Linked DNA regions of Mytilus edulis. The protein of the gene in region 2 binds, or shares a complex with, the protein of the main gene of each other region. Links are inferred from orthologs where the notes say so. Each region holds a gene or a part of one and is shown on either strand. Other genes may lie near its edges.

Region 1 (7,396 bases), on a different chromosome or scaffold from region 2:
GCCCTTTTACAAAGTATTAAAACAGTAAATTGTGTACAAATTAACAAATATGAATAGTTTACCTTAATTTACTTTCTTTTCTTTGCAGCAGAGTATCTAGTTCCATATCTTCCTCATTACCAAAAGGTAACCATAGCACATGAATGGCAGAGAAATCAGGCAGCATTTTAACCTTGACAAAAAATAATTTATTATTTACAATCAAGTATTGAAAATGTTCAAGAAAAAAAAAATGTAATGTAAAGCAAGTTACGAGAATCTTGATAGATACACATATTATATTGTATTAAGTAAAACTTTATATATAAATCACCTTTCAGATAAAAATTCATTCATTCATATTGAAGATGTACTTTACATGAAAAATTTGCAACATAGTATCAAATTTGTGTTCAAAGCAATATTTATACCTTTTAAAAATAACGTAACTTTATGGAAATTTGTAGTATATTGTAAAACATGAAAAATTATTTATAATATTTAGGCTAGGTTTCAATTGACTCTTTCTGGGCCTTGTATAGCTGACTATGCGGTATGGGCTTTACTCATTGTTGAAGGCAATACATCAACCTATAATAGCTGTCAGAGGGCTTACATAGGCTATGCCTGTTGCCCAATCCAATTCAATTTATTTGAATAAAATATTGTTTAAACCAATAGCTGTTAATTTCTTTGCAAGTTAGACAAACTAGTTTAGCAAAAATTAATACCTGTGTTATTTCTACCATTGAATCAGCAATTTGTTGGTCAAGTTCTCCACTGTTAATTATCTCCCTTACATAGTTATACAACACAATACTGACATCATGGGCTCGTCTCTGTACTCTGTCACTAGGGGCCCTATATTTACTGCCTGGTCGGGTTCTAGTAGTTTCTAAGTCTAGAATTATCTGCTATATAATTTTAAAATAGAAAATTTACTTTTTAATTTACTTATTCTCTATAATTGTTAAAACATTGATTTCAAGTACAACAAATCCAGTGAGAGTAGGTATATATAATCCTTATATGATTTGCATATTAGGTAATATGTTAAAATGATTGGTTGTGAGAGCTATCTACATTTGTATAAGGCTCTTTATTTTTTTTTTATACAATGTTGACAGAACTACTTTTTGTAACCAATGTAAACAAGACATTCTAATATGGACAAAATCAGAAAATTAAAATAATGACATTGTAAACACAGGAGAAAGAAAACACTAATATACGTGTATAGTTATTGTTCTAAAAATACATTTGTACTAAAGCATATTTCACAGTTGACAAATTATTTCATGATCATTTTGATAAATTATGATAATTTCACAATTAGTATATATTTAATTGACATTATCACAATGTAAAAACACAAACACTGTTAACAAATGCTAACCTTGGGTGAAACGTTCCATCCTGATGAGTTTTTACTCCTTCTGAAAAGAAAATATATGAGAAACATAATAAATGCATAAACAATGTCACTTGTTGACAATTATAAGCAAGGCTATGTGAAACTATAACTGTCCAGAGCTTAAATAGCTTAATCATGCTTAACTTAAACTTACATACAAAAGTGATTCTCCTATACATTACAATTGTATGTGGCACTTAAAAAATAAAATTTCACATGAACTTGATGTGCATAATAATGAACTTTTATTAAAACTTTACAAAACCAAAAGCCAAGGTTATTCAGTAATCTTCTTATCTAAAAATCAGTGTGAGGCTTTTAACATGTAGCAAATTTTTTTAAGCTCACATCTTACTGCAAGACTAATATGGCCCTTGACATGAGTTTCAATAGAATTATTTGCTGGATGATAATCTTTTTTTTTTGTAATTTTGTAATTTTCATGATGAAACATGTGAAATTACATACTACAGTATTAGATACACATTATAAAAAATTAAGCGACATTTGTAAGATCATTCAAGTCATAAAGTTTTAATAATATATACATACACAATTGACCAAGCTATTGCTTTAGTCCATCGAAGACCTTAGCTGTAGGGTGATATCAAATTTTGGGGGTAAAACAACAGCAAATCAAAATGCATAAAAGAATTCTGCTGGCATAATACATTGCGCATTTCTTATGTTACTTTTTCTCGTTTGTCATGTGACAATCCTTCAAAGTGAATGTTAAGATGCAGGAACCAATGGGTCAATGTGAAAACTGTTCAAATATGAGAAAAGAAAGGGTGGCAGGCATAAATAGGTTGAATGAAAAATGAACAAATTGAGGTCAGATTTATAAGGGGACGAAGTCTCCTATTACCAGTCAGAGCTCAGACATAAATAGGTCTGAATCTGCTTTTGACTCATAGAGGTCTAAATTTTAAGTTTTAGGATTTGTCTCCCTTTAATGCAAGACAAAATACGACTTTAATAAGTCAAATATTGTTAAGCAAGAAATAATTGACCAGAATCCAAAAGTTGCAAATATCGACTCCTACAAGTCGATAAGTAACCAACATTTGTAAACTTCAAGACCCACGCATATTAATAAAAAGGTCACGCATCTAAATCAAATAATGACAACATTGAAAAACAATGCTTTGTCTTCTAGAGAAAAATATGAATGTCTAAAAAATTGGAGATAATGTTAATTAACCTTACAATGCAACCACCTGGAGCCACACTTAATGAGATAAAACATCTGTGTTTAGTAAGGATGTTCAATTAGGTAATTAAATATAGATAGGTCAAGTCCTTGTGAACTCTCAGATAGGTTTTTGCTGTCATAGGAGGTGTACTTTGGCCACCAAGTCAAATTAAGTTTTTTCATCAACATAAATAGACCTAAACAAGTCTGTCATTTTCTGACTTAGATAAGACTTCTGTAAGTCAAAAACAAAAATCGACTTGTTTATGTCTGAGCTCTGACTGATTACAGTAGAAAAATCAAGATTTTTTTTTTTTAAATCGGGAATTTTCATTGAACTAATGAACTCAAAAATTGTTATTTTTTTTTGGTCACTTTTATTAATTCACTCATTTGCGCAGAATGCAGAAAAAAAGGGGGGGGGGGTTTGTCCTGGGTTGGGAACCCCCCATTTTTAAAATGGCTGGATCCGCCCCTGATAATTATGTATAAACGTTACCTGATGGTCATTTTTTTTTTGTTTACATTGAAGATGACGTCATAACTTAAATAACGTCACAAGTAAAATCCCTACCAACAGAACCAAAATCAGAAACATTACCTTTTTTCCGTTTCTTTTTTAACAGATTTTGAAGTTACACAAAATAATTCATACAGACTTCGTCCCCTTTCACAGGTAATGCCTGCCTCATATTATGGGGACGAAGTCCCCAATTACGGTAGAAAAATCAATAAAAAACAAAACAAAAAACAAATCGGGAAAATTTCCCGAATTTTTCATTCTACTAATGAACTCAAAATAGATTTTTTTTTCAGATCTACTTCCGTTTCCGGTCTTGTTTGAATGAGACTTTGAATAAAATGTATATTTATCAACATATCAACAAATATAGGAAGGAATTTAACACCCAATCATTTTTAATAATTGTTTGATATGAAAAAGACGTTACCTGGATAACAGCGTTTGTTTGTTTACATTGAATATGACGTCATAACTTAAATAACGTCACAACTAAATCCCTAACAACAGAACCAATATTGGAAACGTTACGGTATTTCCGTTTCTTTTATCAACATGTTTGAATTAAAAAAAATAATACAGACTTCGTCCCCATTCACAGGTAATGCCTGCCTCATATTATGGAACCAAAGCCGTCACTCAGAAATGTTCAGCTCCAGAAGCAAAAAAACTTAATGGGTATGATTGAGGGGGGATAGGACCTTTATCGGGACTCCGGGATCGGGTGTTTTTAAGCTCGGGATTTCGGGATCTGGGAATTCCTTTTTTCCAATTTCGCGACCTCGTGATTTCGTGTTTTTAAGCCTGGGATTTCGGATTTTTAAGCCCGGGTTTGGGGATTAGGACCCCTCCTATCCCTCCTCATGATTGTGAACATAAGAGGGGCGAATTGTCTATGGGACGAGTTGTCATATTTTACTGCCTACTTTTGTGACTTCTTCAGCATCTTAGCCAAAGCGCCTTCAATCTTGACAGCTTGCTGGAAACATGCACATGACTTCATATAATTCCTCTGCCACAGAATTCTAGAAAAGGCTAGCAATTTAAGAGCCTGCTGAGAAATAAGAGTTGACATTTTACGCTGTTTTAGTTTACATGGGCGCATCCATGTTGTAGATCCGCACGGAATATTGAAGAAATTACATTTAAAAATTCAGAACTCACATTAATTTATTGTTTGGATCATTTGTAAGAATGCATATAATTGGTATTATTGTATTATTGGCTGATGTCTCCAATTTTACATATTAAAGCCAATACATTGAATATCCCGCAGTGTGTAACTTCCGGTCTCAACAAATTGTAAACATTGAACATGTGGAACTTGACATAAGAGTTCCTCGCTAAACATTTGAACTATTTGTCCTTATTTTTAACATGTCATCGAGGGCATTGCGCAAACTTCATGGTAGACAAGAATTAGAAGTTTTGTCTGTTGATGACGAGATAGATGAGGAAGAAAGTCCCGAGAAAACTCAGACTGCTGTTGTGAACCCTTTTGCACTGGTAAGGGAAACATTATGAACATTAAACGTTAGGCCGAAATTACTCTGACGTTCCAGTGGTTCTCATTTGGGGGTTCTAATCCCAGATCCCGCTTACTGTTTTGTCAGATTCCTGTATCCCGTTTACACTATGTATGTAAGCAATTCTTATTTTATTTTTAATTTCTCTTGTCCTGCATGACTTCATTTCACGTTTTCACGCCACAATAATTTGACTTTCATGTGTCATGCTTACAAAAAATCAGCAATCCCATGTCAGCTTAGACCCCAATGAGACCCACATCCAAGACAACCTGGGACCGAGGGACCAACTACCCCAGCTTGTCTGGCAAAACAGCTGTTGGACGTCAGTGTAATCTCAGACTAATTAAACATATGGCAAATGCAACAACACAATAGTCAGACACATGTTCAGATTCCAGTGATCTTTGATTTATTAAACATAAGTTTCAAACATCTTTGCCCTTTCCTCCTTTTTGCCACCCCCTTTACTCCAGAAATTCATAATGACCCCTTTAGACACCTGTGTAGTTTAAAAGTTTTGACAAAATGTCTACATCAGACTTAAGAAAATTTGTATTCAATATGGAAGGATATTCATAAGAACATGAAGAATATCTGACTTAAATTTATTTGATGAAATATTAACATTAATATTAATTTGTTTCTTACAATCATTATGCATTAATACTAGTATAAAGCATATTTTCAGCATTTTATTGGAAAATCCTATGCAAATCAAGTATTCAAAAAATAAAAATTCCATTGAGGAAAGAATTATCTTTACAGAATTTATTAATTACATAAATTTGTTTTCATCTCTTCTATTAGTTCTTAGTATAAAAATAAAAAAAATGTACAATGCACCTTGTCCCTATATGTCTGTAGGACAGGTCAAAGGTTCCCGTAAAATTTTGACGTCACAATAGAACTAACTGATGCCACAATGGACAATGATGGAAAAATGATTGTTGTATGATGTATTTAGTTCAACCGTCAGCGTTGCAGATTCTTGGGTCAACTGGCCCAGATTTCCAAATAGCCATAACATGTACGTACATGTTCAACCTCTACTGGTAGAGGACCTGAGTTACCAGCAGTTTCATTTACGTGGCAATTGGGACAACATCCCTAATGCGCTTTGAAATGAGGAACTCAAAAGTCATGTGTAAACAAAAATTCTCTGTGTAGTGATATTTGACACTTTTCTATGATAAACAAGTGACTGAGCTTAACCATTTGAGTTAATTTATAAAGTAGGGGAACACAGAATAAATGTGTAAAATCTATGGAGCTATTAAATGTGTTCAAAGTATTAAATTTTCAAAGAACTTTTTGTGTTTAAAATGGGATTATTTACCATGAGGAGGCGCATCACAAAAGGATACTCGGGGTTTGCTAATTTACGGAAAAAGTAATCTCACTTCGTACCCCGAAAATTTAACCACATATGTCAAAATGTCTCAGCTTCGAAACGAGCAATCACACATATCCAAGTTAACGATATGGACTGAGAAACAGAAGAAAACGTTACCATTACCGCCTATGGAGAAACTAATGCACATCTATACCCAATTGATGCAATGACCAACAATGAACATGTATTATAAAATAGCATAAGGTTCTAACAAAGGCAAGTCCATGAGTAAAAAAATATTTTTAAATCTGGTGAGTCCAAAGATGCATCAAGCTTGAAATATTGTGTATAAACTGAATACTCCATCATGCACATATCCAGTGGCGTAGCCACGGTTGAAATGATGTGGATGCCTTCGGCGAGCGGAGCGTGGCGAAAAAAAAATTTTGACTATTTTATGCAGAAAATTATATTTTTTTCAGACATTGTTCCTGTAAGCACATGTTCTCCCCTAGAATCTAACACTGGTTAGATTTTTGTTTTATTTCAAAATACCCACCAATTCATATAATTATATTTCAAACACAATTTTAATGTTTTCTCGAAATTCTCGAAATTGAATGTAATTCATAATTTATTTATTTGATGTAAAAGTTTCCCACCAATCTTATATTTGACATCTCTCATAAACGGCCCAATCACAGCGGCACTTCTGTATAAAGGAATTGAAGTGATCCCCTTTCCTAGCATTTCTAAAAAACGGCCTTATCACAGCGGCACTTAAGAATATAAGAACTGAAGTGACCCCATTAACGCGTCGTAGGGGACATCATCGAAATACCTGGTGTCCGTCCATCCGGTCTTGTTTGCACTCTCATGTGTACAATTCTTGACAGATTTTTATATCATCAGCAATGACAATTTCGAAAATAAGTCATAAGCTTTTAACTTTTGAAATATAAATTATACGGAACTCCCATTGCATTTTCTCTGAAGCTTTTATTTCTCCATTAAAAATAAAAGGAAAAGGAAAAATATTATTTTTTATTAGTTATTGCCCTTGTTCCTTGGTTACATAAAATATGTGCAATGCAGGGGACATAGGAACTTTGTTCTTTTATTGAATATAAAATTAATATGTGGACCTAGATAGAAACTTGAATTTACTGATAAGCCTAAGAATGATCACACTCTATTACAGATTAGTTTTTTTTTTCACGTCGTCTTTCATGTCACAGGAAACGATATCAGGATATGGTGGTTTAGTTGTCAGTTATGTTGTTAGTTAGTTGTAGAAGCCATCGCTCCGCTAGGCTCAATTTCAGATGAAACATGTCCGAGGATCTGTGCATCATCCTCTGCACTGGCCGTAGCCGACGACGTAGTCTTTTTACGAAAAAAAATAGAGATTTATCCATCTTGTTTT
Region 2 (7,306 bases):
GGACACGATCTTCACCACAGGACACAGGGTTGTCAACTGAAACCAAAGGTTTTTTTACCTTGACCTTTGACCTAGGAAGTTGTACATACATCATGACATGCCCTCTGGTGGTGGTTAATAAACATGTAAAGTATAAAGTATGAAATCATAATGGTTCTCTAGATATGGAGCGGACACAAAGTTAAAGTGTTACGGACGGACGGACAGACAGACTGACCACTATAAACAGTTAAAATGGTTGAATGGTCAAAACAACAGGAATAAATACATCTTTATTATTAACAGCTATATAAATTATCATAATCAACATCAACTAAATTCAAACCAAACAAACATTCATGCAGAAAATGAATATAATTCCTGGATTTGCATTCGTTTTACCAGCGTTCAGTAACTGTCAGCTGCAAAAAAAATGTCCAAATTTTGTCCGACTTATACGAGGGTCAGGACTAAATCCTCAGAATTTGGAGCTGAAATCGGATCGACTAATAGGAGAGTATCTACGGTAAACAGCATATTTGATTCTGAAGACTTGATGCAAAGCCATATGGGTATACATTTACAATTAATTCTCCATAGGCGGTAATGGTAACGTTTTCCTCCGTTGCTCAGTCCATATCGTTTACTTGAACATGTATGATGGCTCATATCGAAGCTGATACATTTATACATGTCTGGTTAAATTTTCGGGGTGGCAAGTGAGATTACTTTTTTCGCAAATTGATGGACCCCGGAAGATGGTGAAAAATGTCACTCTCCTCATGAAATAATCCCAAAATTCTGATGATAAAATTCAATAAAAAAATTGTCCTTTCTAATAATTTATTTCAGGTCAAATCTACATCTTTCTTTTCTCATCACACCAGCTCTATAAAACAGTTCTTATTGTTCATTTATGTCCATTTTTAAAATCACAGCATCCACAATTGTATGGCGGACTAATATTTTTTTTAATTACGTCATCTGAGTTCCTCATCTCAAGGTCTATTAGGGATCCTGACCCATATGGAATCAATGGTTAAACACTTTTCTTTTCTTCTATGCTTTTAACAATAGGCTTCTAAAGTTTGGTTCAATTGAACTTTACAGTTTCCCCAGTTTTTAGGAGATAACTGTATTGTATTTTAAGCTCAGAAGGCATCAATTGGTGATTTGATGGTCGTAAACTAAGTTTACTGGCGACATGTTAACGGAGACGGTAAACAATTTTTAGACATTAAATCATCAATTAATGGCGTTGGAGCTTAAGATACAATATCATAATCTCCATTCTAATGAAACTGACAGAAAAGAACTTTAAAACATGTATCAATTTTCAATTGATGCCATGAAAATTAGTGAAGTTATTCAATCAAAATGCATGTTACAAACGTTGTTGCATTAGAATAGAGATTGTATGCAGAAAATTAAGATTCAGCATTACCTGGATCCATATGAGAATGAGGCATAATGATGACCTTTAACTTTTTGATATTCCATTTATCCACAGTTATAAGTTGTAGATATCCACTGACTGGGTAAACATATTTTGGGTAGGATATTCTCCACTTATCAATTTCCTTTTCAATCTGTAATAAAAATCAATATACAAACAGGCTTCTAGCAGTACAATTTATTAGCCTAAAATATTGCTTCAATTTTTTTTCCAAAGTTTTAATCCCTTTGAAAGATCCTGGTAGAAACATTAATTTTTTTATTTATTGTTTTTTTTTTATTGAAAAGGACCAGCATGTCAACAACCTATAACACTTAAAATATGTATTGCCTGTTAAGTTAATTTTTACCAAAACTATGTGGACCTACCAAAAATTAAGGTTGCATTATATGTATCAAGAAAACTGAATACTGATAAATAAACCATGAAAATGAGATAAAGGTCAGAAGATTCTTGATAACAGGACATGTACATTTTACTTCAATTCTATAGACCAAATAAAGTTGACCTTCTACTCTATGACCATGGAAGCAAAGCTTGAAATTCATGAAATTCTCAAGTGGCAAAAAAAGAAACTTGTATTTCTGACCATATTTGTTGTATTCAGTATTATCCCTTCAAAATTTTTATGAATACCATCACAAGTTAATAGACCCTCAAAGAATATCTGTTTCACAGATGACTACAGATGTTCAAATTGTCGTAACCACCTCTTTTCTGAAAATGTGATCTACCAAATTAGACATATCACCAGGTAAGTACTTATATGAGCTAATAGACAGGTGCCACATGTGGAGCAGGATCTGCTTTACCCTTCAGAAGCACCTTTGATTACTCTCCAGTTTTTGGTGGGATTTGTTGCGCTGTCTCAAGTTTTCTTTGTTGTGTTTTGTAAATTATTATTTATCTTTTGACGTTTCCTTTCTTTGCCATGGCATAGCCAGTCATGAATAACCATATTTCGTGAATGAATGGTTAAGACAAAGAATAATATATGCATTTAGTATTAAGTATTCAACATTTTTAATTTACACATACTTATACAATTCCACAAGCCATATATAATGAAACTAGGTTTTATGAATTGAAAATATCTTATACAAGATACTACGAAATCTAGTAAAAGCTTACTTACAATGATGTCTGCTTCCCACTCAGATTGTTCATTAACTGAACACATCAAATGGTTCCTGTAGTACTTTTCATTCATATTTTTGACTGGAACTTCAATAATACCACTGTTAGGTTCAGTAAAACATTGATGGTCATTACTGATATATTCCTTAAATCATAACAAAAAACATTTAATATAAACAGGAGAAATGTAAGCCAGGCAGGAACCATTATATTGCATCAACATGATGTGATGGCCTGACTAATCTAATGAATTCAAAATTTACTGGTGACCACCATTGTTTGTTTATGTGGTTCATAAGTGTTTCTTTTTTTTTATATAGATTAAACTGTTGGTTTTCCATTTGCTTGAATCTACACTAGTCATTTAAAGGCCCTTTATAGCTTGCTGTTTAGTGTGAGCCACGGCTCTGTGTTGAAGACTGTACTTTGACCTACCCTGTATAATGGTTTACCTTTACAAATTGTAACTTGGATAGAGAGTTGCCTCATTGGCATTTATACCACATCTTCTTATATATTGTAACATACATTGTACAATGTATCCTCGACTGTTAAATTACCAATGTCAGACCATTGTAGCATATAGCTTTGTACAAGATTTTTTTTATCTACAATGTTTATCAGATATTTCTGTTTGAAATCTATTAAGAAAATACAGTAGACAATAATAGTCAATTGTCATACTTTTTATATTAGAAGATTAAGAACTTTAATTCATGCAAGTTAAGCTGCTGCACATATTCTTTGATCCTCTTTGTTCATGTGTAAAAGTTTGTTCTTTTAAGCATTTAAATATCCAAGCTACTACAATATGTCTGATTAAATAGTCAATGCTTATTTCATGATAATACAATAATAATTTGTTAAAAGAAACATGCAGTACCTTATACATCCATTTGACAGCCTGTGTTATCTGTTTTCTTGGTCTAACATCTAACATATGGTACAAAACCATACATACTATAGCATTGATAATGGTAAAGCATAGTAACATATAAATAGCTCTGCTTTTTTTCATTGTCTCGTCCTATTAGGCACACAAATCCTCTATTTTATCCATCTATGCCATCTATGCGTACCTAATAATTAAAGACATATACAATTGTAACAATGTTTTTTGTTAAAATTACTAAATTGGCAATATATTTATAAAATGAAAAACTGTATTTTCACATTGAAACAATGACCACCAGTTTATTTTGTTTTCTCATTTTATATTATATGCTCCCTTTCAAATGCAATGATCGGCCAAAAAAAGGGGGGTTCCAACCCCCCCTTTGGATCCGCCACTGGGTGGGGCATAAAAATTCGTTTTGGTTGAGATATTATCTTTTCTAAATATTGTTTTCAGTTAACTAATTAAAATCAAATATCTACCTATCTTTTTCTGATGATTTTGAGCTGTATATTCCTAAATATCTCTCCAAAAAATGAATTCCTCTGTATTGACATATAAAATAAACATACAAAGTGTAACTTGTTTTTACTAGTACAAAGGAATTTTGCATTGTGTATTTGTTCTCTAAATTCGTTATATAAATGGTACAGTAATAATTGGCAGTATTGGGCATTTAAATGTCAAGTTAGAGTAATCCCAGTAATCCCAGTTTCCACTTAGAAAATTTGGCGCGAAATACGTGAAAAACGTATCTCCTATCCAGAAGATTTCAGTTCTCGGGTTTTTTCTTTCATTTGGATAGATCACGTCATTACGAAACGGATGTGTAATGTATAAACTGGACCCCTGTTGTGTTCACTTATCGCTACACTGACAACAGGTATGGCCTAAATCCCGTGGTCAGAATTCTGACCACGGGATTTGATAATCCGACGAGACTAGTATTTATAACCCTACTGAGTTCTTAAGGGAATAAAAGATACCGGCTCAGTTTGTCAAGAACATGTTAACACGCTCGTTGGTCATTTATCTGCGCTACCACCATGGGGTTAATTAACAGATACTTATTTATTTGCGGCATCACACGGTATTAACATTTGAGGTCAATTTCCTATCACTATAATTGGTCAATTTTATTAGCGAATCGTTGAATTTGTAAAACTCGTCCAATTAATGCCAATGTGACAATGGCACCAACCCGTTCCTTCGGTGCAAAGCTATAGATGGAACGGCGGACCAGTTTAGTGTAATGTATTGAAAGAAACTTTCCCAGATTTACTGATTGAATTAACTTTTGTTTGATATTTGAGTTTCCAACAGTTAGAAAAAATGAAGACTCGATTTAGTACAATAGATATTGCCGTTGTCATTAAGGAAATAAGAAAGTAAGATATCAGATTTGTCATAATTTGGTAAATAAATTTTACTTATTTTGATAATCACTTTTCATTATCAGAATTTATTGCGTATTGAAAGTATGTATGAATCACAATTCCCAAAATTTATAAATAGTATTGTATTCATGTATATTGAATACACTAAAATGTATTCAAATGTCTTCATTTTTACTAAAGACAATATATATAGCAGAAAGTAAAATCACAAAAATACTGAAGTCTGAACTCCCTAGGAAAATAGGGCTCTTCACGGTTAGTTCGGCCATATTGGATAGGGGGCAGATTTTCATAATAGAGGTAAAAATGGTGTGAAAAATACGGGAAAACATCATTAAAACAGAGCTGTTGCTTGGAAACACACATAGGATTTCCCACACTTTCATACCATTTCCACCTCCTTCCAAAAAATCTGCCCCCTATCCAATATGGCCGAACTAACCGTGAAGAGCCCTATTCAAAAAGGATAGTCCCTAATCAAATGGCAAAATCAAAAGTTCAAACATATTAAACGAATGGATAACAACTGTCATATTCCTGACTTGGTACAGGCATTTTCTTATGTAGAAAATGGTGGATTGAACCTGGTTTTATAGCTAGCCAAACCTCTCACTTGTATGACAGTCACACCAAATTCCCTTACATTGTCACCGATGCCTGAACAAAACAAACAGACACAATAGGTAAAAATGTCAAAAATAGGGGTACAGCAGTCAACATTGTTATCATCTTAATCACTATAAAAACAACAAATGTAACGAAGAAGCACAAAAAGGCATACATCAAAATTAAAAATACTAAAATAGCAGATGTCATTTATCTGTTAGAGACATGTACAAAATGTATATAGTATAATTTTTGGGATGCAAGTTAACAAAATTATGTGTATGATTTAGATGACAGGGTGACTGCTTTTATTGTAGATATTGTGGGATGCGAGTTAACAATGTGTATGATATAGATGACAGGGTAACTGTTTTTATTGTAGATATTGTTGGATGCGAGTTAACAATGTGTATGATATAGTTGACAGAGTAACTGTTTTTATTGTAGATATTGTGGGATGCGTGTTAACAATGTGTATGATATAGATAGCAAGACATACCTACTTAAGTTACAGAGGTTAGTATAATAAAAACAACACTAATGAGAAAATGTTATGATCGATAAAATTTCGTTTAAGTGAACAACTTTTAAATGGAAACAATTGTAAACCAATTAAATTGAGAATGGAAACAGGAATGTGTCAAAAAGGCAACATTCTGACCAAAGAAAAGCCCAAGGCCAAAGCCAGAAAATCCAGCACCCATAGGTGTGCTTCAGCTTGCTTATTTACAAATGTGTAGTAGTTCATCAAAAATGGTTGTCACTAAATCTGGAACATGTAAATGAACCGAAAGTAAAAAAAAAACATTCAAGACTAACACTACATCAAATGTAAAACAGTGTTCTGTGGTCAAATTAAATAATATAAGTTTTAATAAATTAATCTTTAAAAGAAACGACAAAAAATGCCATTTCTTCATATGCAAGTATTTTGAATAAATGGTACCATTATCATTCTGAAACCGGTTTAGGTACAACAGTAGTATACATTTCAGAATTTTATAAGTTTAATGTCATTGATCGTGAATGCCTATGTAAAAACAGTTTCATATATCTGTGGACTAACTTTCCAATGATCATACTTCATAGTAAGGGGCCTAGTGGTCTAAATAGTTGAACTACTGTATCACTAGGCTGCAAGGTTTCAAACTAGTATGGGTCCAAGGTCTACATGTAGGTCCTGTCTTTTCTAGAAGAGGCCTTTTTATTTTTAAATTAACAAAAGTCAAGGTACCTACCATTCTTTTTTAGATGCTTTATACACTACCATTGATTTATTATGGAGGACCTTTCACTTGAAATTTCAAATGGTTCTGGACCTTTCATTATAAAAAAAATGAGCCCTTGGGCTGTTAACACTAAGGTTGTGAATTGGAATACCTGTATATGCATTTCAGTTGTTCTCAAATCTTTTATGTTATTAACTAGGATTGTCAGTTTTCCTAATGAAGATTGGTGTTTTTTTCCGAGCACTCTGATTTCCTCCACCAATAAAAACTGACTGCCAAAAAAAATAGCATTATGGTACTGAAAGTGGTGTTTAACAGCAATCAATCAATCAATTAATCAACAAATTTTCCAATGATCAATTCTAAAAGTAATTGTGAACTAATAATGCAGTTATCAATTATAAAAGTAATTGTGAACTATTATTCCAATGATCATTTATAACAGTTACTTTTATTCTTATAAAAATATGACAAAGTATTTCGGCACTATAGAAGAAGAAGGAGATGCTTTATTTCCATCAAATGGGCTCACAAGGAGCATAATATATTATCATTATAATATTATTTTTACAAATATAATAAACAACAAGTATACATAGTTACAAAC

The links.
Region 1: ribosome quality control complex subunit NEMF-like (region 2) and ribosome quality control complex subunit TCF25-like share a complex: the UniProt entries of both Homo sapiens proteins name them as parts of the ribosome quality control complex. The link is inferred for Mytilus edulis from reciprocal best matches to the Homo sapiens genes NEMF and TCF25.

What each region holds. Positions count from the first base shown.
Region 1 is NC_092348.1:25,174,773-25,182,168, reverse strand, and holds the start of ribosome quality control complex subunit TCF25-like, read left to right. Parts: upstream 1-4,380; 5' UTR 4,381-4,485; coding exon 4,486-4,614; intron 4,615-7,396. Other genes in the region: uncharacterized protein, read right to left, coding at 63-172, 711-893, 1,376-1,415, 4,035-4,213. UniProt on the Homo sapiens protein: Component of the ribosome quality control complex (RQC), a ribosome-associated complex that mediates ubiquitination and extraction of incompletely synthesized nascent chains for proteasomal degradation.
Region 2 is NC_092346.1:80,639,053-80,646,358, reverse strand, and holds the start of ribosome quality control complex subunit NEMF-like, read left to right. Parts: upstream 1-4,257; 5' UTR 4,258-4,305; intron 4,306-4,725; 5' UTR 4,726-4,799; coding exon 4,800-4,855; intron 4,856-5,917; coding exon 5,918-5,986; intron 5,987-7,306. Other genes in the region: alpha-mannosidase 2-like, read right to left, coding at 1,424-1,568, 2,571-2,717, 3,456-3,590. UniProt on the Homo sapiens protein: Key component of the ribosome quality control complex (RQC), a ribosome-associated complex that mediates the extraction of incompletely synthesized nascent chains from stalled ribosomes as well as their ubiquitin-mediated proteasomal degradation.